Macaca fascicularis: one gene and its partners. The protein of the gene in region 1 purifies or fractionates together with the protein of each later gene. This does not show direct contact. Links are inferred from orthologs where the notes say so. Each region holds a gene or a part of one and is shown in the gene's direction. Other genes may lie near its edges.

What was found.
Region 2: the proteins of SLX4 (region 1) and SLX4IP purify together in Homo sapiens (affinity purification with mass spectrometry; 6 studies listed by BioGRID and IntAct, with this or other methods). This does not show direct contact. The link is inferred for Macaca fascicularis from reciprocal best matches to the Homo sapiens genes SLX4 and SLX4IP.
Region 3: the proteins of SLX4 (region 1) and KPNA1 purify together in Homo sapiens (co-immunoprecipitation; 3 studies listed by BioGRID and IntAct, with this or other methods). This does not show direct contact. The link is inferred for Macaca fascicularis from reciprocal best matches to the Homo sapiens genes SLX4 and KPNA1.
Region 4: the proteins of SLX4 (region 1) and PGAM5 purify together in Homo sapiens (affinity purification with mass spectrometry; 4 studies listed by BioGRID and IntAct, with this or other methods). This does not show direct contact. The link is inferred for Macaca fascicularis from reciprocal best matches to the Homo sapiens genes SLX4 and PGAM5.
Region 5: the proteins of SLX4 (region 1) and RTEL1 purify together in Homo sapiens (affinity purification with mass spectrometry; 3 studies listed by BioGRID, with this or other methods). This does not show direct contact. The link is inferred for Macaca fascicularis from reciprocal best matches to the Homo sapiens genes SLX4 and RTEL1.
Region 6: the proteins of SLX4 (region 1) and TOPBP1 purify together in Homo sapiens (affinity purification with mass spectrometry; 3 studies listed by BioGRID, with this or other methods). This does not show direct contact. The link is inferred for Macaca fascicularis from reciprocal best matches to the Homo sapiens genes SLX4 and TOPBP1.
Region 7: the proteins of SLX4 (region 1) and PLK1 purify together in Homo sapiens (affinity purification with mass spectrometry; 9 studies listed by BioGRID and IntAct, with this or other methods). This does not show direct contact. The link is inferred for Macaca fascicularis from reciprocal best matches to the Homo sapiens genes SLX4 and PLK1.

The regions. Positions count from the first base shown.
Region 1 is NC_088394.1:4,381,211-4,384,710, reverse strand, and holds part of SLX4 (structure-specific endonuclease subunit SLX4), read left to right. Parts: intron 1-2,029; coding exon 2,030-2,219; intron 2,220-3,118; coding exon 3,119-3,331; intron 3,332-3,500. UniProt on the Homo sapiens protein: Regulatory subunit that interacts with and increases the activity of different structure-specific endonucleases.
Region 2 is NC_088384.1:76,731,123-76,734,622, reverse strand, and holds part of SLX4IP (protein SLX4IP), read left to right. Parts: intron 1-1,798; exon of another isoform or gene 1,799-1,840; coding exon 1,841-1,941; intron 1,942-3,194; coding exon 3,195-3,500.
Region 3 is NC_088376.1:160,731,501-160,735,609, forward strand, and holds the start of KPNA1 (importin subunit alpha-5), read left to right. Parts: upstream 1-1,309; 5' UTR 1,310-1,475; intron 1,476-4,109. UniProt on the Homo sapiens protein: Functions in nuclear protein import as an adapter protein for nuclear receptor KPNB1. Binds specifically and directly to substrates containing either a simple or bipartite NLS motif.
Region 4 is NC_088385.1:139,826,190-139,830,251, forward strand, and holds the start of PGAM5 (serine/threonine-protein phosphatase PGAM5, mitochondrial), read left to right. Parts: upstream 1-1,262; 5' UTR 1,263-1,297; coding exon 1,298-1,488; intron 1,489-4,062. UniProt on the Homo sapiens protein: Mitochondrial serine/threonine phosphatase that dephosphorylates various substrates and thus plays a role in different biological processes including cellular senescence or mitophagy. Modulates cellular senescence by regulating mitochondrial dynamics.
Region 5 is NC_088384.1:119,806,597-119,810,096, forward strand, and holds part of RTEL1 (regulator of telomere elongation helicase 1), read left to right. Parts: intron 1-27; coding exon 28-174; intron 175-272; coding exon 273-388; intron 389-606; coding exon 607-730; intron 731-803; exon of another isoform or gene 804-814; coding exon 815-965; intron 966-1,343; coding exon 1,344-1,486; intron 1,487-2,005; exon of another isoform or gene 2,006-2,252; coding exon 2,253-2,348; intron 2,349-3,272; coding exon 3,273-3,471; intron 3,472-3,500. UniProt on the Homo sapiens protein: A probable ATP-dependent DNA helicase implicated in telomere-length regulation, DNA repair and the maintenance of genomic stability. Acts as an anti-recombinase to counteract toxic recombination and limit crossover during meiosis.
Region 6 is NC_088376.1:36,524,103-36,527,066, reverse strand, and holds the end of TOPBP1 (DNA topoisomerase 2-binding protein 1), read left to right. Parts: intron 1-1,721; coding exon 1,722-1,865; 3' UTR 1,866-2,464; downstream 2,465-2,964. UniProt on the Homo sapiens protein: Scaffold protein that acts as a key protein-protein adapter in DNA replication and DNA repair. Composed of multiple BRCT domains, which specifically recognize and bind phosphorylated proteins, bringing proteins together into functional combinations.
Region 7 is NC_088394.1:22,747,202-22,751,235, forward strand, and holds the start of PLK1 (serine/threonine-protein kinase PLK1), read left to right. Parts: upstream 1-1,234; 5' UTR 1,235-1,251; coding exon 1,252-1,659; intron 1,660-2,398; coding exon 2,399-2,567; intron 2,568-3,318; coding exon 3,319-3,463; intron 3,464-4,034. UniProt on the Homo sapiens protein: Serine/threonine-protein kinase that performs several important functions throughout M phase of the cell cycle, including the regulation of centrosome maturation and spindle assembly, the removal of cohesins from chromosome arms, the inactivation of anaphase-promoting complex/cyclosome (APC/C) inhibitors, and the regulation of mitotic exit and cytokinesis.

The DNA.
Region 1 (3,500 bases):
CAGCAGTCTCCTAAGGTCTAGATTCTAGAATAGTCCCTTTGTTTTCTTTTGTTTTCCATGACATTGACTTTTTTTTTTTTTTTTTTTTGACAGAGCCTTGGCTGGAGTGTAGTGGCGCGATCTCGGCCCACTGCAACCTCGGCCTCCCGGGTTCAAGCTATTCTCGTGCCTCGGCCTCCTGAGTAGCTGGGATTACAGGCACCCACCACCACACGCGGCTAATTTTTTTGTATTTTTAGTAGAAACGGGGTTTCGCCATGTTGCCCAGGCTGGTCTTGAACTCCTGAGCTCAGGCGATCTGCCCTCCTCAGCCTCCAAAAGTGCTAGGATTAGAGGTGTGAACCATTGCACCCAGCCCCATGACAAAAACTGAGTTTTTGAAGAGGCTAGGCTAATTGTATTATAAGATTTCCCACTCTCTGGATTTGTTTATTTCTTTATGGGATCCTTTAACTCCTTCCTCTAACCCTTGGGTTGCCCCGGGTTGCCCCACTCTGAGTGGATTAGAGGCTCATTGGCTCCAGGTGACAGCGTGTGGAGACAGTGCCCCATAGCTGCTGTGCACTTGGTGTAGCACCAGCTCCATAAGCATAATAATGCCAGGTGCTTCTGTTCTCCATCCCTGAAACAATATGGATTCTCATTTCTGATGAAAATTTACAAAGGGAAAAGAAATAGGAAGAAACTATTATTGGCGGACCTAGAGCTAATAAGTATGCAGGCTCTTGGCATTGCATTGCAGATTTCACTTCAGTAACACCGATGAGTCTCAGGCCGCCCCAGGGTCCACAGCAGGCAGTGATTTGATGTCCTGCCGAGGCATCAGTCCTGGATGCACATGTGAGGTATAGAGGAGGCACCCAGCTGGTGTGAGCTCCGCCCCTGCCCAGCATTTGACTCAGTTCTCTCTGTATCTTCACATCACACCCAGCAAGCTCTCAGAAAGAGATAAACCATTTCTTTGTTAAGAAACCAAACCAGGCTGGATGTGGTGGTTCACACCTGTAATCCCAGCACTTTGGGAAGCCAAGGCAGGCAAATCACCTGAGGTCAGGAATTCAGGACCACCCTGGCCAATATGGTAAAACCCCGTCTCTACTAAAAATTAGCCAGGTGTGGTGGTGTGCACCTGTAATCCCAGCTACTGAGGAGACTGAGGCAGGAGAATCACTGGGACGTGGGAAGCGGAGGTTGCAGTGAGCTGAGATCGCATCGATGCACTCCAGCTTGGGGACAGAGTGTAAGACTGTCTCAGGAAAAAAAAAAAAAAGAAGACGACCAAACAAAACAGGGCACCAAAATGAAGGTGTGCTGTTTTGCTGGCCTCAGTGGCAGGCACTGGTAGGCCACAGCCATCAAAAACTTGGGGGTTTATGAGGCGTTCAGGGCGTATCCCTTGTGAGTGACAGGGGTCTGCTCCAGCAATACCAGATGGGCCACCCTGGGAGCCATCTCAAGACCAGAATCAGTCCATTCTTGCGTCTGATGCTAAGTAAGAGATGCTGCTTTTTAACCGCCAAGGGCATTTCACTCTGCCCTGGTTTTATCACGGGCAGTAAAAGGTCAGCAGGAAAGGTTGAGCTTCGAAGAGAACATCTAGCTTTGTTGGAATATGAGCCTTGTGAACCTGCAATGCCCAAGGTAGCTGACTTCAGCAGAAGTGGGGAAGTGTAGGTCCTTGCTACTCAGAGTGGTCCTGCGGTGCCAGCATCGCCAAGCCTGGGGGCTGCTAGGAAGGCGGAGAGTCTCAGGCTGCACCTGGACCCCCTGAACTTGAATCCGAGTGTCGACAAGCTTCCCAGGCAATGCATATGCATGTTAAAGTTGGAGATGGCTGTTGCAGAAGTGCTGACTAGTGCCCAGTCTCACTGGACAGTGCCTGAGTCACCGGTCTACAGAGTGGAGCTGGGTTCTGGTTTATTTGTGCTCCCCCTGCTCCCCATGGTCTGCAAGAGCCGACAGAGCAGAGGTCTGAGGGTGAGCTTGTCTTTGGAGTTGATCCTCACGGATCTTTGGTGCTTCTCCACAGTGTTTGGGCTTGGGCCCCCTGCCCCAGAGAGCGACGCTGCGGTGGCCTTGACCCTGCAGCAGGAGTTTGCACGGGTAGGAGCATCGGCACATGATGATAGCCTGGAGGAAAAAGGGTTGTTCTTCTGCCAGATTTGTCAAAAGAACCTGTCAGCCATGAACGTGACCCGAAGGGAACAGCATGTAAACAGGTGGGGGCAGCGTGGGCCATCACCTCTCCCGTGTACGTGACCAGAATCCCCGGGCACCCCAGGGCTGGAGTGGGGATCTCCACACCTTACTGTGAAAATAGCACCTCAGCTTTGTTGTCAACCTACCCCTTTTTAAAAAATAACTTTGTTGAGATATAATTCACAGAACATATAGTTCACCCATTTATTCACACAGTTGTGCAACTGTCACCACAATCACTTTGGATTATTTTCATCACCGCCAAAAGAATCTCCACACCCATTAGCAGCCACTCCCTATTGCCCCTCTCTCCCCTGACAACCACTAATCAACTTTCTGTCTGGATGGATTTGCCGATTCTGAAATTGCACAGTTGTCCTTTTGTGTCTGCCTTCTTTGACTGAATATGTTGTTTTTGAGGTTCATCCATGTTGTAGCATGGGACAGGCTTCATTCCTTTTTGTGGCTGAGTAGTATCTCATTGTATGGATAGACTGTGTTTTTTTCCCATTCTTAGATGAGGAATATGACCGTGGTTTATCCTTTCATCCATTGACTGACATTTGGAGCATTTCTACTCTTTGGGATTGTGGATAGAGCTGCCGTGAACATGGGTTTCATGTATTTGTTTGGGTACCTGCTTTCAGTTCTTGGGGGTCTATACTTAGGAGTGGAATTTCTAAGTTATCATGTAACTGCATTTAATCTTTCCTTGCTTTATTTAGCCAGCTTTGCTAACAGATACCTAAGTGTAGTGTCTAGGGGCTGACTGCCAGGAGACGGAGTCAGGCTGTGTGGAGGGATTAGCTTTGGGGAACTTGCTTTGACCACAGCACATCCATGATGACCTAGACCCACATGTGCTCCAATCCACATTCCCGGGGAGGGTGGTTCTCCTGTATTAACTGTCTTCCTTCAGGTGCCTGGATGAAGCTGAAAAGGCACTAAGACCTTCCGTGCCTCAGATCCCTGAGTGCCCGATTTGTGGGAAACCATTTCTGACCTTAAAGAACAGAGCCAGCCACTTGAAGCAGTGTGCTGTGAAGATGGAGGTTGGCCCCCAGCTCCTGCTGCAGGCCGTCCGGCTGCAGACAGCACAGCCTGAGGGGAGCAGCAGCCTGCCAGTGTCCAGGTGAGTCAACGAAAAGGAAGAAAACCAAGCCAAATATTGCTGTGTGCACTCAGGGCTTTTTCTATTTAAAAAAGCTTTTTATGGGCCAGGCGCAGTAGCTCACACCTATAATCGCAGCACTTTGGGGGAGGTCAAGGTGGGCAGATCACCTGAGGTCAGGAGTTCGAGA
Region 2 (3,500 bases), on another chromosome or scaffold:
GATTTGAAGAGAGTGTCACTATCGCAGCATAATACTTTATGTGGCATATGCAGTATTCATTGTTGTTATTTATGACCCTGTCTGCCTTGCATTGTGGATTTCTTCCAGCCTTGGGGAATTTACATCATTCCTAATAGCAAAAGGCTTTCTGGTTCCCACAGAGTTGTTCAAAGCCTGACTCATGCTCCTTATGTTAATTGTTCAGCTCTGAAAATACAGCACTTACAGGGTGTGGTTGTAAGGGGAGATTCTACTGTACTTATAGGGCATGTTTAGAAGTGTTTCACACATAAATCTCGATTCCTCTCTCTCTCTCTCTCTCTCTCTCTCTCATTTGAATTTTAAGATGTCACTCATTTTGGCCAACTAGTAAGTCTTAGAAAACAAACCAAAAAAAAGGGAGTATAATCCAATAAAACATAGAATATTCTGTTCACTAGCTTAAAACTCACTTGGGTTATAACCAGATATGACTTTGAATGACACTGGCCCAGGTCTGAGATGGATAGGCACAACTGAAGAGCATGGAGAGCCCATCCTCAGTGGTGCAGGGCAGTGATTAGGCAAAGCACATCCCCTCAGCCTGTAGGGTAACCAGGCGTGGTACTCATGGCTGCCACCCACCAGGTGCTCTGGGGCTGTCACTGCTAATTCCAGTGTCGTTCTAAAGCAAGGACCTAATGACAGTTTACTAAAGCTGTTTCTGGTGGTAGCAACATTTTATTGGAATTTGATGGGGAAGAATACTTAGTGTCTCAGAAAATGAGAGGAGTTAATACTCGTCTGGATTATGTACTCGATAACCAAAAGGAGAAGAGATTCCAAAACTATGAAATGGGTTAATGTTGGCAAGGTAGGTAGGCTTTTACATTTTATAATTACTTCCTTATGATGCTTCCATGGGAACACAAAAGGCTAGATAGGCAGATAATCTATGAATTATATAAAACCAGAGTGGTGGTTAGTATAAGGAAAAAAGTCCCGAATTTTTTAGTAGCCAAGAATCACAAACTCCAGTTTTCAAAATACCAATATTAAAATATTTGACTATTGCTACGGTCTTGGGTGTTACAACTTTTTTTTTTTTTTTTTTTTTAGACGGAGTCTCACCCTGTTACCCAGGCTGGAGTTCAGTGGCGCCATCTCAGCTCACTGCAAGCTCCGCCTCCTGGGTTCATGCCATTCTCCTGCCTCAGCCTCCTGAGTAGCTGGGAGTACAGGTGCCCACCATCACGCCTGGATAATTTTTTTTTTTTGTATTTTTAGTAGAGACGGGGTTTCACCATGTTAGCCAGGATGGTCTCGATCTCCTGACCTCGTGATCCGCCCACCTCAGCCTCCCAAAGTGCTGGGATAACAGGCGTGAGCCAACGCGCCCGGCCACAAAATATTCTTTATTTTTGCAGATAGAGAAAATATGGGGAATTCTTAGGATGGTAAGGGTGTAGACCACTGTGTCACCAGGTCTTGCTGGAAGAACGGAGCTCACAGGCACGCTGCCCCACACAGTAGGATTCTGGGGCTTTTGTCACAGCCTGGGCCTCACAGTTACCAGATATTGGCCAAGACTTCCCAGATGGTTTGGAATCAGCATTCTTTGCCTTACAGTTTTGTATGTTTATGGCACATATTAATGTTTGAAATGTAGACTGGGAGTCCAAAAGAAGTTACAATTAACCATAAAGTTCTAGGTAAAAAAGGTTAAAATAGCTTACCACTGAGCAGTTTCATTCAGTCTTTACAAAAATAAATGTGTTCATTGGGCATTCAGAGTGTAACTGTTTTCTCTCATGTTCAGCTAATAGATTTCTGGTTGAACCTTTGTTATCTTTTGGAGTAGACAGAAAGAGTTCTCCATGGAGTGTCTGATTACTTTGCTGAGTGTGCAGAGAGTTCACTTCCTCCCAGTGCAAAGCTCCGGAGAAATGCTCTGAAAGAAATGTAGGTGCAATGTGTTTCCTTTTTCTCATTTGTGACTGCCTCTATGTATGGATAGATAACATGAAGTCCAGAATTAAACAGAGTGCCTGGAACTGAAGCACAAACTCCCCTCCATCATGTACTTGCTCTCCCCTCCCTCCTGACTCTCTTGCTTTCTGGACAATAGGGATAGAGTCCTTGCTTCACAGGTGTGTTGCAAGGAGTAATTAATGACACGTTCTTTGAAGATGAAAAGCACCTGTTGGTGGTGTGTTTCATACCACTTTCAGAGGGACTACAGACAGATCTAAAAAATACATTCCTTTCCTAAGATCCTTGTTCCGACTTTAATATAATTACAATAATCCTCATACTCCTGGTGTCAACAGTAAGAACATGAGTATTATATGTATTTGTTTTCACGCTGAAGCTAGCCAAAATAAATATTTCAGCTTTCAATGTTTTGGTGGTTGAGGAAATTTCTTGCCATTCACAGACCTGTAAATATATGCTGAAGTTAAGATCTGTAGTCTCTAATTCTCCCTGTGCAACTTCTATCCCGCCCCTCAAAGTTCATTTTATCATCAGAGTGAAGTTACATTGTCTGTTGTGCATGCCGTTAGAAGCAAGGGGCTTATATACAGCTATATCGACACTCTTTTGTCTTCCACGATTGCATTTTATTGCCTTTCATGCTGGCTATCTGGAATTTCTTCCAGGACATTTCAAATTATATTAACTAAGTCCTACTCCCATTTGTTGATCAAGTTTGATCAACAAACATGACACCAGCTAAGTGGTGGTTGTATTTGGGTAATACCTTGAAATAGCCTGAGAGAAATTCCAGGAGATTATTCTTTACTCACAAGTAGAAATTGTGTGTATGTGTACATTTGTGTTCACAGAACCTGAGTCTACTCCTGGAAAAAAAAAAAAAAAAAGTCAGCATATAAGCAGTACTGACCCTTAACATCGGAAATGAATACCTGTTTGCCTTAGTTAAAATGGGAACACCATCATAAATCCATTTTTAACCCAATGATTGATAAGCAGGTATATCCTAGTATAATGGAAAATGTGAAGGTTTTTGCTTGATTCCATCTGCATTTAAACATACACTTGTTGTGGGGGGTGTTTCCAGATTTGCTGGGGAGGCAAGAAGGCAGGTAGTGCCTGCCTCCTTTTCCAGGTGTAGGAAATGTGGTAGAGGGAATTTGGAGGAAACTGTGCCGTGACAGCTTCACAAACCATAAAATCATTTTTGTTTGTTTCAGTGTGAAAAGAACTGAAACAAAAAGCAGCATCACGAGCAAATCACAGACCAGAAGAGACACTGTGGAAACATCTAGTAACTCAGTGATTGCAGAGATAGCAAGGAGGAGGAATGATGGTCAGGCTTCCTCCAGTCCCGCATCAGAATCCACGGGACTAGCAAAGGATTACATAAAGGCAGCTGAGAGCCACTGGGGGCTTCCTGTTCAAAAGCTGGAAAAAGTTAATCAGACCCAGCCAGAAGTCACTAGTGGCCAGCAAAAACCTCATCCTGGGGAGCGGTTAAAGACAGGGCTTCTAAGTGGGAG
Region 3 (4,109 bases), on another chromosome or scaffold:
AATAATCAATCTTACCTCCTTATTGGAATAAGGTGATCTGTCTTCAGTCTAGCTGGGGTCAGGCAAACTTGCCCTCAAGTCTCTCCTGGTGAACACACCTTCCCTTTCCCCAGCCACATTGCTCAAACTCAACTCTGATCTTAGTAAACACATCGCGGGAGAATGCTGATGCAGCAGAGTGAAGTCCAGGACAAATGAACATTGCATAACCTAGGATTCAGGTAGAGTGGTCCTCTGTCTTCTCCTCTTCCCTGGGACATTTATAAATGTACTAATCTACCTCATCTCTTTTACCTTGCTTCTTGGCATATGTTTTAAATCTATCTACTATTCTGTGACCCCTGCTAGGCTGGCTTCAGTTTTTCTTTTGAAGCCACTACTCCATTTGCTCCCCCAAAGAATTCCATCAAATTTAACATTAACAATCATTTGCTCCAAGTTTTCGTTTGAGAGCACTTGAGAGTAAAACGAGTATTTGTGTTTCATGTAGTTTCTTAATTATTATTATTATTATTATTATTATTGAGGCAGGGTCTCACTCCGGTTGCCCAGGCTGGAGTGTAGTGGTGCGATCTCGGCTCACTGCAGCCTCATCGTCAACTCCGGGCTCAGGTGATTCTCCCACCTCAGCCTCCCCAGTAGCTGGAACTTCAGGCGCCCGTCACCACCCCCGGCTAATTTTTGTATTTTTAGTAGAGACGGGGTTTCGCGATGTTGCCCAGGCTAGTCTCAAACTCCTGGTCTCAAGTATTCCACCGGCCTAGGCCTCCCAAGGTGCTGGGATTACAGGTGTGAGCCACTGCACCCGGCACTTAATTATTTTTGATACTACTCATACATTATCAAGCAAAGGGGATGGGACATAACTAAAAAAGGAATGTCCAGAAGCTTCTTGCATTCATGCTGCACGTGAGCCCTTTAGACACGAGGCGCTGACCTACTAATTTTGTAATACTCCCTCAGTCTTCAATCATTCCATCATTCATTCCATCAACGCGTATTAGTTACCTACTTTGTTAGAAGCTATACAGAGGTGAACATCGATCCGCCCTGGAAGAGCTTAGCAAAGACAGGTTTGCACATATAACTTTCTCCAACCTTTGTTATGGTCTGCAAACCTCCTTCTTAGCGAGACCCTCTCCTCTCCCCGATCCCCGACTCTTCGCAGGCTGGGCGAGAATCGCTAGGAACGTGCGGCGAGAGAGCGTTACAAGACTACGTCTCCCGGCAGCCTCTGCGGCAAGCGCCGGAGGGGCGCGCGTAGGCGCTCGGGCCGGCCCCCGCACGCAGGCGCACTGCGAACGCCGGCAGAGCTGAGTCTTGCTGCTAGGTGCGCGGCGGCGGAGAGCGAGGCCTGCTGAGCACCGCCGAGGCGCGGGCCAGCTCTTCGAGGTTGTGCGCGGGGAGCGGCACGGCGGGCGGGCGAGCGAGGGCTCACTTCAGCGGTGGCACCGGGATCGGTTGCCTTGAGCCTGGTGAGTGCGGGGGCTTTGCGGCCTCGGCCCCTCCCCCTCCCGCCGGCAGATCCGGGCAGTCCGGGAGGGACTCGGGGGAGGCCCTGGGGCGAGGGCGGGCGCCGGCCGGGCCTCGAGCCGCGGTGCCTGGGCCCGGACGCTCGGCCCGCGTCCGTGCGTCACGGGCCCTGCTGTCCTAACGGCCGCGCGGCCGGCGGAGGAGAGGGTGGGGGTGGGGAGCCCTGGTGTGATCGCCATCGGGAACGCCGGTCGAGGCGGGGCGGGGCGGCGTGGCGCGGCGGCAGGGCTGTAAGCGGCGCCGGGGACTGCGGAGTGCCGAGGCAGCGGGCGGAGAGGAGGCGAGCGCGGAGCCTGCGCCGTGGCTGGGCGGCGGGCGGGAGGCGGGGGTGGGCCGTGCAGAGCGCTCTGACAGAGGCAGGAAGGAGCAGGGGTGGCGTGTAAAATTTCTAACCCTGGCAAGAAGGGACCGTCTTGGGAATTCACAAGTTACAGCCCGGGTCGGAGCCGGCGGCCCGGAGGGAGGTAGGGGAAGCGGGGCGGGGGCGCGGGGAGGTGGAGACGACCGGCTGCAGTTTACAGATGTCATAACAACAGGGGCCTGTAGCGGCTGATTGGGGGTGTGGTAATTACAGGAATGACAGAACTTGGTCTGCACACCGCGTGTTAAAGTGGCGATGCGAGGGAAACAGCTAGGTATCAGATTAAGCTCACAACTGGAGGATAAAACTGAAGGATGACTGGAGTCAAGGGAGTCGTCATGAAGTAATGTTTTTGGGATTGGGTCATGTTCCACTTTTAAGTGAAAGCGTTCAAAATATTTCGTTTTTAAGGTTTCAACTCGGAACAAACGATTGCCGAATTTTTGTGTTTTAAAGAGATGGGGTCTCGCTATATTGCCCAGGCTGTACTCCCAACTCCTGAGCTCAAACTGGCCTCCTGCCTTGGCCTCCCAAGTAGCTGGGACTAGTCTCGGGCAACCACACCCAGCAATGCAGAGTATTTTTTTTTTCTGAAACGGGTACTCTCAAGTAATATTAACTTGAATTTCACCGTTTTTTCTTAAATAAACGGTTGCTTAAAAATCTCTATTAGTAGATAAGGTGATTTCCCCCCTCCTGTTTTTTTTTTCTTAAGAGATGGAGTCTAGCTTTGTTTCCCTGGCTGATCTGGAACTCCTGGCCTCAAGGCATCCCCCCCATTACCTGGAACTACAGGCGGGTGCCACCAACAAGGCTCATTCTCGACACTGTTTTTTTCTTAACTAGCTTTTGCATTTGTAATATTTTGAAAGCAGTCCACAAGTTATTTTTCCCTCCTTTTTAAAGATTAAAGAGATGAAAATTTAATTTTTCAAAGGAAAGTAAGAATGATTACTGTTGTATTTTTACTGAAATAATATATTCCTGGAAGGCACTGTTTTATGGATAGATGAGATGTAAGAGAAAGTAAAGGAATTAACATTTATTGAGTTCTTTTTCAGGTATTGTGTTAAATGCTTTATATATATATTAAAAACATTTAAATCTGAAATATCTGTTAATTTTTCTATTTTACAGATGAAAGCATTGACAATCAAATGTTAAGTAACTTACCTGAGGTCTTCTAGCTCTTATTGAGAACAACCTTAGAACCCAAAGTTACTGCCATTTAAATTATTTCTCTCCTTTCATACTTTTTCGTTGTGTTTTCTTTATTTAATCCGTTCAATCAGCGAATACTTATAGAGTGATCTTCTAGATTTGGAGGGATATAGTCGCGATCAAAACTCACTGTCACTGTTCTCATGGAATTTATAGTGTAGCGGGGAAAGCTAATATTACAAATATTGACTGCATAACATTTTATCAGTTATAGTTGAGTAGCAACTGTAAAGCACTCTACTAAATAGTAAAGGCAGTTGAAATGGAAGCAGACAACATAAGCCTTGAGGAATTTACAGTCCTGTAGGGCAACAAAACATACATTTATAAAAACCTAGAATAAACTAAATGGGAAAGGTATCACCTGAAATCACTGTTCTTGCATTATGTTATTTTTTATTTTATTATTTTTTGGGGGGGGGTGTGGAGGACTTGCTCTGTTGCCCAGGCTGGAGTGCAGTGATGAGATCTGGGCTCCCTGCAGGCTCCCTGCAATCTCCGCCTCCTTGGTTCAAGCAGTTCTCCTGCCTGAGACTGCTGGGACTACAGGCGCATACGGCCACACCCGGCTAATTTTTTGTATTTTAGTATAGATGGGGTTTCACCGTCTTGCCCAGGCTGGTCTCGAACGCCTGAGCTCACGCGGTCCGCCCTCCTCGGCCTTCTGAAGTGCTAGGATTACAGGCATGAGCCACTGCGCCCAGCTGCATTATGTTACTTTATAAAGTGGTTCTCATAGAAGTTTCTTCACAGAACTATGATTTAATATACATCTTATCTAGAACTGATACATACCAAAAGGGGCCATGAAAAACATTTTCTTCATTTATATCTAATGAAGAAATTTCTAATTTATTTATTGGTTCCTATAAAATACAGACCTTGGAGACAAATTCTTCCTAAGACCCCAGTATTAAGCTTTTTTTTTTTTAAACAGATGACTGGTTTTATTAGATTGTTTTGTAAGCCATCCTGTTTCTCCATACTTTTGACT
Region 4 (4,062 bases), on another chromosome or scaffold:
CCAGGATGGTCTCGATCTCCCGACCTCGTGATCCGCCCGTCTCGGCCTCCCAAAGTGCTGGGATTACAGGCCTGGCTAATTTTTGTATTTAGTAGAGACGGGGTTTCACCATGTTGGCCAGGCTGGTTTCAAATTCCTGACCTCGGGTGATCCACCCGCCTCAGCTTCCCAAAGTGCTGGGATTACGAACATGAACCACTGAACCTGGCCAATTTTTTTGTTTTGTTTTTTTCAGAGTCTCACTCTGTCACCCAGACTGGAGTACAGAGGCACGATCCTGGCTCACTACAACCTCTCCCTCCCGGGTTCAAGCGATTATCCTACCTCAGGTTCCTGAGTAGCGGGGAATACAAGCGCGCACCACCATGCCAGGCTAATTTTTTTGTATTTTCAGTAGTGAGGGAGTTTCACCATGTTGGTCAGGCTGGTCTCGAACTCCTGACCTCAGGTGATCCGCCCACCTTGGCCTCCCAAAGTGCTGGGATTACAGGTGTGAGCCACTGCGCCGGGCCCAATTTTCCTTTTTTTATGTTATTAATTTTTTTTGAGACAGGGCAAGCGTCCAGCAATGGGTAAGCGGTGGGGTCGGTCCACACAGGCGTCCAGCAATGGGTAAGCGGTGGGGTCGGTCCACACAGGCGTCCAGCAATGGGTAAGCAGTGGGGTCGGTCCACACGGGGAGCGCCGGTCCCCCTGGAAGGAAACCCAGGCTCTAACGAGGTTCCTCTGAGGACCCTGCTAAGCGAAATGCGCCGGCCACAGAGGGACTATCCCGCAGGAGGCCGGGACCAGAAGTAACAGCCCGGCCGAACCTGAACGCACTTCACGCCGCTTGAACCGCACACGCAGGAACGGCGCCGGCGGAAAAATTTATTTCGGGTTCTGCCACCAAAAACATATCCTTTAAACAAACCTGCCGCGGTTTCCCAGCTCCCTTAAACCAGGGCCCCAAGTTCTCCTCCGAGTCTCCGCCCCGCACCCAGCCTCGAGCCTGGGCAGGGCTTCCGGTGCGGAACCTTCTGGAAAGCACCGCACCGCCCTCCCGGCGTCTCCACAGCTCCGCCCGCACCTGCGCGCACCGGCGTTCGCGAGCACCAGTGACGGGACGGAAGAGTGACGGGGCAGGCGGCTCCGCGAAAACACCCCTTCGCTGAAGGCTGCCCAGCGCCCCGCCGCGCCCCAGGAGGCGGGACTTCCGTCCCCGCTTCCCGGAAGCGGCCTCCCGCGGAAGCGTGTCCCTCGCGGAGCGCCGTCGGGGCTGTGGGCGCCTGCGCGGGCCGGCGCGGGAGCGGGCGGCATGGCGTTCCGGCAGGCGCTGCAGCTGGCGGCCTGCGGGCTGGCAGGGGGCTCGGCCGCCGTGCTCTTCTCGGCCGTGGCGGTAGGGAAGCCGCGCGCGGGCGGGGACACGGAGCCACGCCCGGCTGAGCCGCCGGCCTGGGCGGGGGGCGCGCGGCCGGGCCCCGGCGTCTGGGACCCCAACTGGGACAGGTGCGCGCGGGGCTGGTCGGGCCTGGGGTCGGGATGGGGGTCAGGGCCGGTGTTACCGTTGGGATCGGGATCGGGACCAGGTTCAAGGTTGCGATCGAGTCGGGATCTGGGGTCGCCGTCCGCTTCCCCCGGCGAAGGAACCGCCTTCCGGGGCCGCTCTGCGCTGAGGGTTCTGGGGGCGGCGGGCCCTTCCCGCCGGCTTCTGTGGGCCGAGCTCCGCCTCATCGTCGCCCTTCTCTCCGCCCCTGCGAGTCCGTCCTGGGTGCCGTCGCCGGAGCGCGGGCCGGGGCGAGGCTGGGGTGGAAGCCGGGCCTCCTCCAGGGGCGTTTGCAGGAGGGCGCCCGCCAGCCGCGTGCGGTTAATGAGCGTTTGAAATATGGCCCGTGTGATTCCTGAAGGGAATGCTTAGTTTACGTCAATTTAAACTTAAGCAGGCCGGGCGCAGTGGCTCACGCCTGTAATCCCAGCACTTTGGGAGGCCGAGACAGGCGGATCACGAGGTCAGGAGATGGAGACCATCCTGGCTAACACGGTGAAACCCCGTCTCTACTAAAATACAAAAAAATTAGCCGGGTGCGGTGGCGGCGCCTGTAGTCCCAGCTACTCGGGAGGCTGAGGCAGGAGAATGGCGTGAACCCGGGAGGTGGAGCTTGCAGTGAGCCGAGATCCCGCCACTGCACTCCAGTCTGGGCGACAGAGTGAGACTCCGTCTCAAAAAAACAAAAACAAACAAGCAAAAATAAATAAACTTAAGCAGGGCCGGGTGCAGTAGCTCACGCCTGTAATCCGGGCGTTTGGGAGGCCGAGGCCGGAGGATCGCTTGAGCCCAGGAAGTTGAAACCAGCCTGGGCAACATAGGAAGACCCCCATGTCTACAAAAATTACAAAATAAGTTAGCCGAGCGAGGTGGCGCGCGCATGTGGTCCCAGCTACTCGGGAGGCTGAGGCAGGAGGATCCCTTGAGTCCAGGGGTCCCAGGCTGCAGTGTGAGCCGAGATCCCGCCACTTCACTCTGGCCTAAGCAACAGAGCCTGTCTCAAAGGAAAAAAAAAAAAGTGCAGGTTTTTAACATTGGTTATGTGTTGAAATAGTATTTTTAGCATATTGAATTAAAAGTATGATCGAAATTCACCTGTTTCTTTTTAATGTTGCCGTTAGAAAATTTATAATTTTCACATGTTGCTGGCATTCTGTTTCTGTCGGCCAGGACTGCTCTCGAGGCAAGGATGGTTTGCCCAGTCCTAACTGCTCCTTATACTCAGTATTCTGAGAAAGGGGCACAGAATTATACTTACTACTGTGGTTGTGTTAAGTACTTTATATTACTTTTTTTTCTTTTGTTAACCTTATTTCCTCTATTATTAGCATCATACACTAAGCGTGGTATATATATCAAAATTAATGAGCCGTAACCCATACATTATTACTAAGGTTCATGTTTCACTGAGATTTTCTCAGCTTTTACCTGCTGTTCTGTTCTAGGATCCCACATGACAAGCAATCTTCATGCCTCCTCAGGCACGTTTTGGTGGTGATAATTTCTCAGACTTGTTTCGATGATCATCACTGTTTGACGCATCCTGGTCAGGGGTTTTATAGAAGGTTCCTCAGTTGAGATTTGTCTGAAGATTTTCTCATGATTAGATGGGAGTTACATTCTTTTTCTTTCTTTTCTTCTTTTTTGTTTGAGATGGATTTTCGCTCTTGTTGCCCAGGCTGGAATGCAATGGCGCAATCTTGGCTCACTGCAACCTCCGCCTCCTGAGTTCAAGCGATGCTCCTGCCTCAGCCTCCCGAGTAGCTGGGACTACAGGCGTGCACCACCACGCCATCTAATTTTATGTTTTTAGTAGAGACGGGGTTTCTCCATGTCGGTCAGGCTGGTCTTGAACTCCCGACCTCAGGTGATCCACCCACCTCGGCCTCTCAAAGTGCTGGGATTACAGGCATGAGCCACCATGCCCAGCCCATTAAATTCTTTTTTAAAAATCAGTAAAATATTCTGAATTTCTTAGGCCTTTTTAAGGAAAGAGATTAAGGTTAAAGAACTTGAAGTAGGTTGGGTGCAGTGGCTCACACCTGTAATCCCAGCACTTTTTGAGAGGCTGAGGCGGGCGGATCACTTGAGGTCAGGAGTTCGAGACCAGCCTGGCCAACATGGTGAAAGTCTGTGTTTACTAAAAATACAAAAAAATTAACCAGGCATGGTGGCACACACCTGTAGTCCCAGCTACTCAGGAGGCTGAGGCAGGAGAATCACTAGAACCCAGGAGGTGGAGGCTGCAGTGAGCCCAGATTGTGCCACTGCACTCCAGCCTGGGCGACAGAGGGAGACTCTGTCTCAAAAAAAAAAAACTTGAAGTAGAACCAGGAACTGAGCCCAGCCTTTCTCTTTTAAGCAGGTGTTCTGTATTTGCTTGCCATGTCTGGGGAGAAGTGAATTGGGCCTTGTGGGCTGGGAAAGACTCGTACAGACAGAAGGCATGAGCAACTACAGGAAGGTGCTAGAAGACAGCGTGTTTCCTCTTGAGTCTGGTGTCCACGCTGTAAAGTTCCAGAGCCTCATCTGGTGAA
Region 5 (3,500 bases), on another chromosome or scaffold:
CAGGCAGCTCCCTGGTGTGTCCCCCAGGCCAGCGAGGGGTTGGATTTCTCAGACACGAATGGCCGTGGTGTGATCGTCACGGGCCTCCCGTACCCCCCCCGCATGGACCCCCGGGTTGTCCTCAAGATGCAGTTCCTGGACGAGATGAAGGGCCAGGGTGGGGCTGGGGGCCAGGTGAGTTACAGCAGGGCGGGGCTGGGGTAAGGCAATCTGGCGACTGAGCCCCCCTGTGACCACGGGAGCCCCTGTGACTGAGCCTCCTCGCCCTCCAGTTCCTCTCTGGGCAGGAGTGGTACCGGCAGCAGGCGTCCAGGGCGGTGAACCAGGCCATTGGGCGAGTGATCCGGCACCGCCAGGACTACGGGGCTGTCTTCCTCTGTGACCACAGGTGCGTGCAGTCCGGGGGCAGGCGTGGCGCCAGGGGACACGGCCACATCCCACTGGGCCCTGGACTCCTTCCCCACATGAGGCCCCGTCTACCCCAGAGCCTCTCTGGCGACTCGGGGTCAGCCTGAGGCCCCTGCGGCAGATGAGGGTCTTCACTTGGGTGAACTGACCCCCTGAAGCGGCTGTGGGCAGGGCAGCAGGGCTGTGGCCACCCCCCAGGTTCGCCTTTGCTGATGCCAGAGCCCAGCTGCCCTCCTGGGTGCGTCCTCACGTCAGGGTGTACGACAACTTCGGCCACGTCATCCGAGACGTGGCCCAGTTCTTCCGTGTTGCCGAGCGAACTGTGAGTTTCTGCCCAGGGAGGGGATGAGGGTGTTGTCCCCAGAGGAGCCAGAAATGGGCCCACCCACCCCCAGTGGTTCTGCAGATGCCAGCACCGGCCCCCCGGGCTGCAGCACCCAGTTTGCGTGAAGGAGAAGATGCTGTCAGGGAGGCCAAGTCGCCTGACCCCCTCCTCTCCACCAGGAAAGCTAAGAGTCTGGACCTGCATGTCCCCAGCCTGAAGCAGAGGTCCTCAGGTGCAGATGGCCAGTGCGGGACGGGCAGTGTGGGGCGGGCGGGGCGGGCAGCGGGGCAGGTGGTGTGGGGCGGGCGGCACCAGGCGCCCAGGGTGGAGGCGGCTCACCTGGCTTTATGCACTGCCCCTCCCACCTCCAAAGGCTGTGTCTGCCTCCTAGGGTGGGGTTCCCACGGGCTGGAACCCTCCCCTACAGGCAGAGAAGGCCTCAGGCAAAGACGCGCCCCAAGGCTGGGACTCCCCCTAATAGCAGGGAGGACACCCACAGGCAGGGGCCCCCAAATGCTGGGACCCTCCCTCAGGAGGGGCTCCGTCATAGGCAGGGACCCCCAGCTGGGGCCCCACGGTGGGCTTCACTGCGCACTCGGGTACTCTGCAGGATCACCAGCTGCCGGGGACCCCGAGAGTAGCCTGTGTGTGGAGTATGAGCAGGAGCCAGTTCCTGCCCGGCAGAGGCCCAGGGGGCTGCTGGCCGCCCTGGAGCACAGTGAACAGCGGGCCGGGGACCTTGGCGAGGAGCAGGTGCAGTTCCAGGGCCTTGGGATGGACACAGACCCTCTGTCTCCTGAGGCCAACCCCACCCCGCCCATCTGACTTCAGGCACCTCCCCACACACCCCTGTAAATCCCCTGCCTGTGGGGTGGGCAGGCAGGTGAGGGATCCCGGCTGCCTGGCTGTGTGTGTGCCCTCCACCTCGCCTCACCCACAGGCTGCTGGCTCCCAGGTGGTGCATGCCCTGGCCCTCAGCGAGTGCCCCCACATCACTTTGATTCTCTGGCAGGTCAGCTTGGCTCAGGGCACTCAAGGTCGGGTGCCCCTGCCCCTGGCTGTGCCTGAGGCTGGCCTTTCTCCAGGAATGTGCTGCGGTTGGGACCCAGGTTCCTTCCTCCTTGGGGCCTTTTGCCCCAGAAGCCCATAATTTCTCAGCTTTCTCCCTGCTTCCTGCTGGGGGCCGTTCTCTTGCTGCCTGTCCCTGCCCTTCAGGCTCCTGGAGTGAGCCCCGGGTGCAGGCACCAGACACCTGTGTCCCCTTCCTGCCAGCCCCTCGCTGTGGTCGGACTGTCCTTCCTGGACCTGCTCTTACGTGTCACCACCTGTGAGCCTCATGAGCCGCTGGCGTGACTTGGACAGGACCAAGTTGTGGGACTGTCACCAGGGTGTGCCGCGCCCCTCCCCCGACCTTCGTCTTGGCTACTGCTCAGGGCTCCTTGGGGCCATCTTCCCTGTGGGCCCAGGTGCTTTGGGGCCCTGGAGTGTGTGGTTGGAACCACAGCTGTGTCCTCCTCAGGCCCACAGCTGCTCCACCCTGTCCCTCCTGGCTGAGAAGAGGCCGGCAGAGGAGCTGCGAGGAGGGAGGAAGAAGATCCGGCTGGTCAGCCACCTGGTGCGTGAGCTGTCCCTGCACCTGTGCCGACCACCATAGACACGTGTGGGAACCCGGCCCTGGGTGCCCCCAGCCAAGTTGGGATGTGGGCCCGATGGGACCAGGGAAGTTACCCCCGGGAGCTGATGTCCAGGGCGGCTGTGAAGCTGTCGGCCCAAGGGCTCAAGGGCAGCTGGGATCAGGCCCCGCCCTTAGGCAGGCTTGGTTTGGGGGCTGCAGCACTGGGTTTGGCCCTGGCATTTCCCTCAAGTGTGGACGTGCACCTGCCTCATTCGAGGGGCGCAGCCCATTCCCAGCCTTGGATGAAAGAACCGAGTTATAGTCGGAGCCAGGAAGCCCCCTGCCTGCTGGAAAGCCCCAAGTGTGGCAGCCTTTGTCCATGTCCCTTGGCTTCTGGGAAGAACTGGGTGGTGCCCAGGCAGGGCTGGTGCCATCAGGAAGTGGGCGGCTGCCGAGGGGCCTGGGCTGTTGAGGGCCTGGGTGGGGAGTGCCGGGGCTGCCCCTGCCTTGGTTTCCACGTTTCCGTGTTGGTCTGGGGTGTGTGGAGAGATGAACACCGCTTCTTGGGAAGCCCCTCCCTATGATCTGCCATCCTGGAGCCTCAGCTGTGTCCGCTGTGGGGTGGGGGCTTTAGGGAGGAGGAGAGAGGACCCCCAGCTTGAGGGAGAGCCAGTCTACCCTTTGCCCATTCGCTGCCCTCGGTTCCCTGCCAGCCTCTCACTGTGTGACCCAGACAGGCCCAGCCCCGCAGCTTTCCTCCCGCAGCACCTCCGTGTCCATCCAGCCAACCAGTTTCTCAGGCAGCAGCCCCCGCTCAGCAATCACTGTCCCGGGGAACACCCAATGCTCCAAGGAAGGCTCTGCAGCTGCAGGGATGGGATGATGAGGCTGGCCCTGATGGAGCCTCGGGCCTGTGTGCTGCAGGAGGAGCCCGTGGCTGGTGCACAGATGGACAGGGCCAAGCTCTTCATGGTGGCTGTGAAGCAGGAACTGAGCCAAGCCAACTTTGCCACCTTCACCCAGGCCCTGCAGGACTACAAGGGTTCCGATGACTTCGCCGCCCTGGCCGCCTGTCTCGGCCCCCTCTTTGCTGAGGACCCCAAGAAGCACAGCCTGCTCCAAGGTGCCCTGGCTTGCAGGGGCCGCCCATCC
Region 6 (2,964 bases), on another chromosome or scaffold:
TTCAGAAAACTGTCTTTTCTTCACTGAGTTGCTTTTGCACCTTTGTCAAAATTCAGTTGATTTGGCCCGGTGCAGCTCAGTGGATAACTTGAGGTCAGGAGTTCCAGACCAGCCTGGCCAACAGGGCAAAACCCCATCTCTACTAAAAAGACAAAAATTATCTAGGCATGGTGGCGCATGCCTGTAGGCCCAGCTACTCAGGAGGTTGAGGCAGGAGAATTGCTTGAACCCAGGAGGCTGAGGTTGCAGTGAGCTAAGATTGCACCATTGCATTCTAGCCTGGGCAACAAGAGCGAGACTCCATCTCAAAAAAAAAAAAATTCATTTGGTCATATTTGTGTGAGTCTGTTTCTGGGTTCTCTTTTCAATTCCATTGATCCATGTGTGTGTCTGTCCCTCTCTAGTACTGCCCTATCTTGATAACTACATAAACTCCAATATCAGCTGGTGATTCCTTCCACTTTATTCCTCTTTCAAGATTGTTTTAGCTATTGTAGCAGCTTTTTTTTTGCCTGTATCTTTTCATGTAAATTTTAAAATAAGCTTATGTATGTCTATAAAAACCTTGTTGCAATTTTGATAGGAATTTCATTAAACTTACAGATCATTTTGAATCAGCATCTTTACCACATTGAGTCTTCCATGAACATGACATTTCTTTCTATTAATTTAGATGGTCTTTAATTTTTCATAAACATTTTGTAATTTTCAGTATATAGATCCTATATATGTTTTTTTTAAGCTTATGCCTAAGTATTTCTGTTTATTTGAATGATTCATTTTTTCTTAAGAATGGGTCATGTTTTGCTTCTTTACAAAGCAATTGCTTAATTTTGGATATATTCTGGACGTCATGAATAAGTCGTAGAAACTTTAGATTCAAGTCCGGCATGGTGGTACTCCTGTAGTCCTAGCTACTTGGGAGGCTGAGACAGGAGGATTGCTTCAGCTCAGGAGTTTGAGACCAGCCTGTGCAACACAGCAAGACCCCTATCTCCCCACAAAAAAGAAACTCTAGATTCTGTTCTTCTGCTCCTCCAAAGAGTACTGTGTTGTTTAACAGGGAGTTTACTTCATACACTGTGTTTGCGTCCCCAGCCCCACATTTGCTAGGTTTGTTTATTCTCCAGGGTCTGTGGTTGCTTTTAGTATATTTTGGTCAGTGTTTGTAGTTGTTATCCATGGAATAATTGAATCAAAAGGCACTTACTTAGTATTTTGTGGTGATTCATTTTCAGGTTGCCCAGTCTGCCATATTGCTAGAAAATTAAGTTTTATTACACTTATAATAAGGGGGAAAAGATCCATTTCTTCTATGTTGGGAAATGGTTGTGGTTGAAAAATGCAAGGGTTTTGGAGTCAGATCGGTTATGAATTTTGGCTTTACTACCTGCTAGTTATGTGACACTGGTTGTTTTATTTAACCTTTTTTATTTTATCTCTAAAATGGGGATTAAAAACACCAATATGGAATGTTTGTAAGATCTGAGCTAGCCGCACTCTACCTGAGCGATACATGTATTTCTCTGACAACAGCTGGGGCTTTGTCCCACAGGCTTCATTTTGTTTAATTTACTGGAACCTAGGAATGAATATGCATTTTCCTTGACGTTTGTCAGATTCATCCCTGACAGGTTGGAGATTTAAAGAAAAAAATCTATTACTGGATCATGCAAATTTTTGAAATCATTTAAAAAAATCATTTATTTTTCCTTTTATAGGAATCACCTCCTCATGTAGAAAATTACTGTCTACCAGAAGCTATTTCATTTCTTCAGAATAATAAGGAACTTGGGACTGGATTATCACAAAAGAGGAAAGCTCCTACAGAAAAAAATAAAATGAAACGACCTAGAGTACACTAATCGCATCTACTCTTTAGTTACCAAACATTAAATGTTTTTAAAAATTGAAAGCCTGAATGTCACTGTGGCGGATTTGGGTCGTAGTTTAAGGATGAGTGCCTGAAGACTTCTGCCTCAGAGTATAATGATGACCCTTCTTGAGTTTTGAACACCTGAAATTTTAATCACTGCAATATTAACTGTTTCTTAATAAAAAGTTACCTGAAATAACAACAAAGTACAGCTCCTCAGCTAGCTTGCTGTTAAACCACATTGAAGTATGTTAGAAGGTATTTATTTTTCTTGTAAATATCTGAAGCTATAGCTTAGTGGAAATTTTAGCAAGGTGATGGATTTTGCTTTAGAAAGTCTGCCTTACAAATTCATAACAACAAGATTTGTCAATCAGCATTTATTCATGTTTTCCCTGATTTTTATCTTCTCACCATTTTACCTCTTTTAACAGGAGCCTGAGCACAAGGTTTAGTGAAGAAGCTGGGGCTATAAATGTGTGTGTATATATGTATATGTATGTTTGTACAAATCTCCATGATGTTTGCCAAGTTTGGGTGCCAAAACTTGGAAAATGTGATAATAAAGAATAAAAGTAGTGACTCAAATTAGTATTAAGATGTGTTTACATAGATGAATTTTTAAAAAGAGCACCCTGGCATCTATTCTTCTGTTGAAGCAACAAAACATTTATGTAACTTAACTTAAAAAATGAATTGCAGGGGGCTGGGTGCTGGGTGCGGTGGCTCACGCCTGTGATCCCAGCACTTTGGAAGGCTGAGGCAGGCGGATCACCTGAGGTCAGGAGTTTGAAACCAGCCTGACCAACATGGAGAAACCCTGTCTCTACTAAAAATACAAAAAATTAGCCGGGTGTGGTGGCACATACCTGTAATCCCAGCTACTTGGGAGGCTGCGGCAGGAGAATCGCTTGAACCTGGGAGGTGGAGGTTGCGGTGAGCTGAGATCCATTGCACTCCAGCCTAGGCAACAAGAATAAAACTCCATCTCAAAGGAAAAAAAAAAAAAAATTGCAGGCCAGGCACGGTGGCTCATGCCTGTAATCCTACCACTTTGGGAGGCCAAGGTGGGTGGATCGCTTGAACCC
Region 7 (4,034 bases), about 18 Mb from region 1:
GATCACTTGAGGTCAGGAGTTCAAGACCCGCCTGGCCAACATGGTGAAACCTCTTCTCTACTAAAATTACAAAAATTAGCCGGGCATGGTGGTGCACGCTTGTAATTCCAGCTACTTGAGAGGCTGAGGCGGGAGGACTGCTTGAACCCAGGAAGCAGAGGTTGCAGTGAGGCGGGAGGACTGCTTGAACCCAGGAAGCAGAGGTTGCAGTGAGCCGATATCTGTGCCACTGCACTCCAGTCAGAGCAAGACTCCGTCACACACACACACACACACACGTGGGAGGCCAAACAAAACCCTGCAAGACACATTTGGCTATGACCTGCCAGTTTGCTAGGCATTCTTCCAACCTTCCGTCCCTCTGACCAAGAAACTGAGTGTCCACTATTTTAGGCCCTGGGAAATTCAGTAGCGAGCAGGCCAGACAGCTTCCTTGCATCATGGAGGACTCTGGTACTGTGCTTCTCCAACTTCAGGATGTGTAGGAATCACCTGAGCAGTCTTGTTGAGAGGCGGACACTGACTCGGGAGGTCTGGAGTAGGGCCTGAATGTTTGCCTTTGCGGTTCTAACAAGCTCTCAGGTGATGGCGATGCTGCTGTTCCATGGCCCCTTCTTTAAGCAGCGTTGCTTTGTAATCCGGAGGAGCTCAGAAGCGGCAGTTATTTGAAGGAGCAGACTAGCCATGAAGGTATGTTTGGCAAGCACACTTTTACTTAGATTTTAGTTCAGTTCGGGTGGCTTGGCTGAGAGCTGACGGCATCGGGAGGCGGATGCTAAGGCTTTCTTAAACGACCTGCTGGCATGCCAGTTCCCTACTCTTAGATTGCTTATATTCTAGGTGGGGTGGAAGTGGAGGAAGATTTAAGGAAAAGCTTCCTGGAGGAGGCGCAAGCGAACTGCAGGAGCTTTCCCGGACGCCCGAGAAAGGGAGAAACCCCGAAGGAATTCCTCCCCTCTCGGGGCTGGGTCTCCGCATCCACGCCGGATTTGGTTTCCCAGGCTATCCCACGTGTTCGGGCGTCCCTGTCAATCAAGTTTTTCCCCGGCTGGGTCCGGGTTTAAAGGCAGCTGCTGCGCAGGGCGCTCCCATGGTGCCGCGCGGCGGGCGGGTTTGGATTTTAAATCCCCGCGGCCAATCAGTGGCGCGCAGGCTTTTGTAACGTTCCCAGCGCCGCGTTTGAATTCGGGGAGGAGCTGAGCGGTGCGGAGCGTCTGCTCGGATCCAGGTCAGCAGAGCAGCTCCAGGAGCATGAGTGCGGCAGTGACTGCAGGGAAGCTGGCACGGGCACCGGCCGACTCTGGGAAAGCCGGGGTCCCCGGAGTTGCAGCTCCTGGAGCTCCGGCGGCGGCTCCACCGGCGAAAGAGATCCCGGAGGTCCTAGTGGACCCACGCAGCCGGCGGCGCTATGTGCGGGGCCGCTTTTTGGGCAAGGGTGGCTTTGCCAAGTGCTTCGAGATCTCGGACGCGGACACCAAGGAGGTGTTCGCGGGCAAGATTGTGCCTAAGTCTCTGCTGCTTAAGCCGCACCAGAGGGAGAAGATGTCCATGGAAATATCCATTCACCGCAGCCTCGCCCACCAGCACGTCGTAGGATTCCACGGCTTTTTCGAGGACAACGACTTCGTGTTCGTGGTGTTGGAGCTCTGCCGCCGGAGGGTGAGTGTCGCTGCTGGTTAACTGGAACTGCCTGCGGGGCAGTTGGAGCGCCCAGACCTGGAGCTGCTGGAAAGAGTGCCCAGGAAGGGAGTACCTGGGACTTGGAGCTGGTAGAGAAGGGTGCTGGGAGCCTCCCTCTTAGGTATGGAAAGTGCCTTTGGTAAGGGCTTCTTGGCTCTTGGAGCTGCTAGAGGACGGGGTTCCAGTGAAGTGGAGTCTGAGTCATGTTGCTGATAGGGAGGTCAGCTTCTGGACGCGAGGTACTTGGGGGGAGGGCTGCTGGTAATGGACGCTAGGGCCCTGGAGTGGCCAGGGAGGAGTCCCAGGTTAGTGATGCCGGGCACTGGGAGCTTCCGGAGTGTAGCTGGGTCAGTGAGGGGGTAGTTGGAGCTAGACTTCGGGCCTTCCGAGGGAGATAAGAGTCAGGAAAGGGATCTGCTGCTGGGGACTTCCGGAGTGGGGCTGAGAGAGGACCCCCAGGTAAGGGAGAAAGCTAGTAGGAGAAGGGGTGCTGTGAATGGTTGTGGACAGTGTTAAGGCAGGGTCCAGATGCCAGTTGTCCTGGAGAAGGAATGGGGTGGGGGCATAGGGAAGGAGAGAAACCCACCAAGACCCCTCTTTCATCCTTTGGGAGTCCAGAGTCCAGTCCTGTGCTTCCTTTGCCTGGTAACCCTCTCCCTTCCCCACCGGCCTCAATACCACCTCCCCATCCCTCCTGCCCTCTCCTTCCCATCCACAGTCTCTCCTGGAGCTGCACAAGAGGAGGAAAGCCCTGACTGAGCCTGAGGCCCGATACTACCTAAGGCAAATTGTGCTTGGCTGTCAGTACCTGCACCGAAACCGAGTTATTCACCGAGACCTCAAGCTGGGCAACCTTTTCCTGAATGAAGATCTGGAGGTGAAAATAGGTGAGTTGCTGAGCCTGCAGGGGTGCTTGACATCACTCCAAGAGGCTGGAATTTGGAGGAGGCTGGGAGAAAGGAAGGAGACCAGGAGGAAGGAAGAGGATGGTGGGAAGTTTGGGCTGTTGATTGCCTCTAGAATTCTCTCTTTAGTCCAGAAATTTCAAACAAAGAACCCACAAGTCAGTATCTTGCCTACAGATGCATTATTTTTTGTGCCCCAATACAGCATTTTTCTTTTTTTACAAAGAATTTGAATTTGTTTTTATTTTTTAAATTGGAAGGTTTGACATAAAAATTTTGATTTAGAGCTCCTTTTAAACAGTCATGAAAGCTCCAGTAATACGAGGACAGCATTTTCTTAGGGCAGTCCTTTGCTGGGCTGGAAAGCAGCTGTCCCCTTCAGACTTGTTTGCCACAGTCTCTACTCCTCCCTATTACTTCTTCACAGACTTGCCAAGTCTTGGAGGTTAACTTGCTTGATCCTTGAAGGCACTGGAGTTTTGCTATCCCTGCCAGTTCCCGTTTCGAAGTATAGCCCCTTTCTAAGGGGAGGGGTGAGAAGGGTCACTGGAGGCACCTCCCTGGTGTCAGCATGGCGGGAAGATTCCTGGGCAAGCCTTGCTGCGTACAAGGAGCAGAAGCTTGTGGGATCAAATGGCCCTGGTTCTTGATGGTCAAACCTTAACTAGCCTTCTGCATTGACAGATGGCAGAGGCTGGCATCTAAGTACCCGCTCTTCCTCCCTCTGTCCCAGGGGATTTTGGACTGGCAACCAAAGTCGAATATGACGGGGAGAGGAAGAAGACCCTGTGCGGGACTCCTAATTACATAGCTCCCGAGGTGCTGAGCAAGAAAGGGCACAGTTTCGAGGTGGATGTGTGGTCTATTGGGTGTATCATGTAAGTTGGGAGTTATCTCTGGATCTACCTGGTCTCAGCAGGGGCAACTTTGGGACATCCTACCTGGCTGACCTTTTCTGTGGACCTTTCGGCCTGCTTTACAGCAAACCTACTGCAGGGGACAGGTTACCCCCAAACAAAGCCTAACTGCCATATCTTTCCCTGTCACTGGTGTATCCTGTTGGATTTCTGCAGCCTAGGACATGGGGGAGGAGGAGGGGGAGGAGAAGGAGGAGGAGAAGTCGTCTCCACAACCTTACTCTAGTCCTTTGCTAGAGTGGTCCACAGGGCAGCATCACCATCATTTGGGAACCTGTATGCGGAATCTCAGGACCCAGATTACTGACTGGGTCAGAATCTGGATTTTTTAACAAGGTCCCTTGGTAGTTCCCGTGCACAATAAGGTCTTAAACATTGATGAACATTAGCATGGTGGGGGAAATTAGGCCAGGAGTTACAGATGGAAGGATGACGTGCTAGTGGTCTGTCTGGATTGAGACCATCAGCAGCGGTTGGTGGCAGGCAGAGGCTTGGGCCTTTTCAGGTATTACCTTTCTTGTTTGGGGCCTAG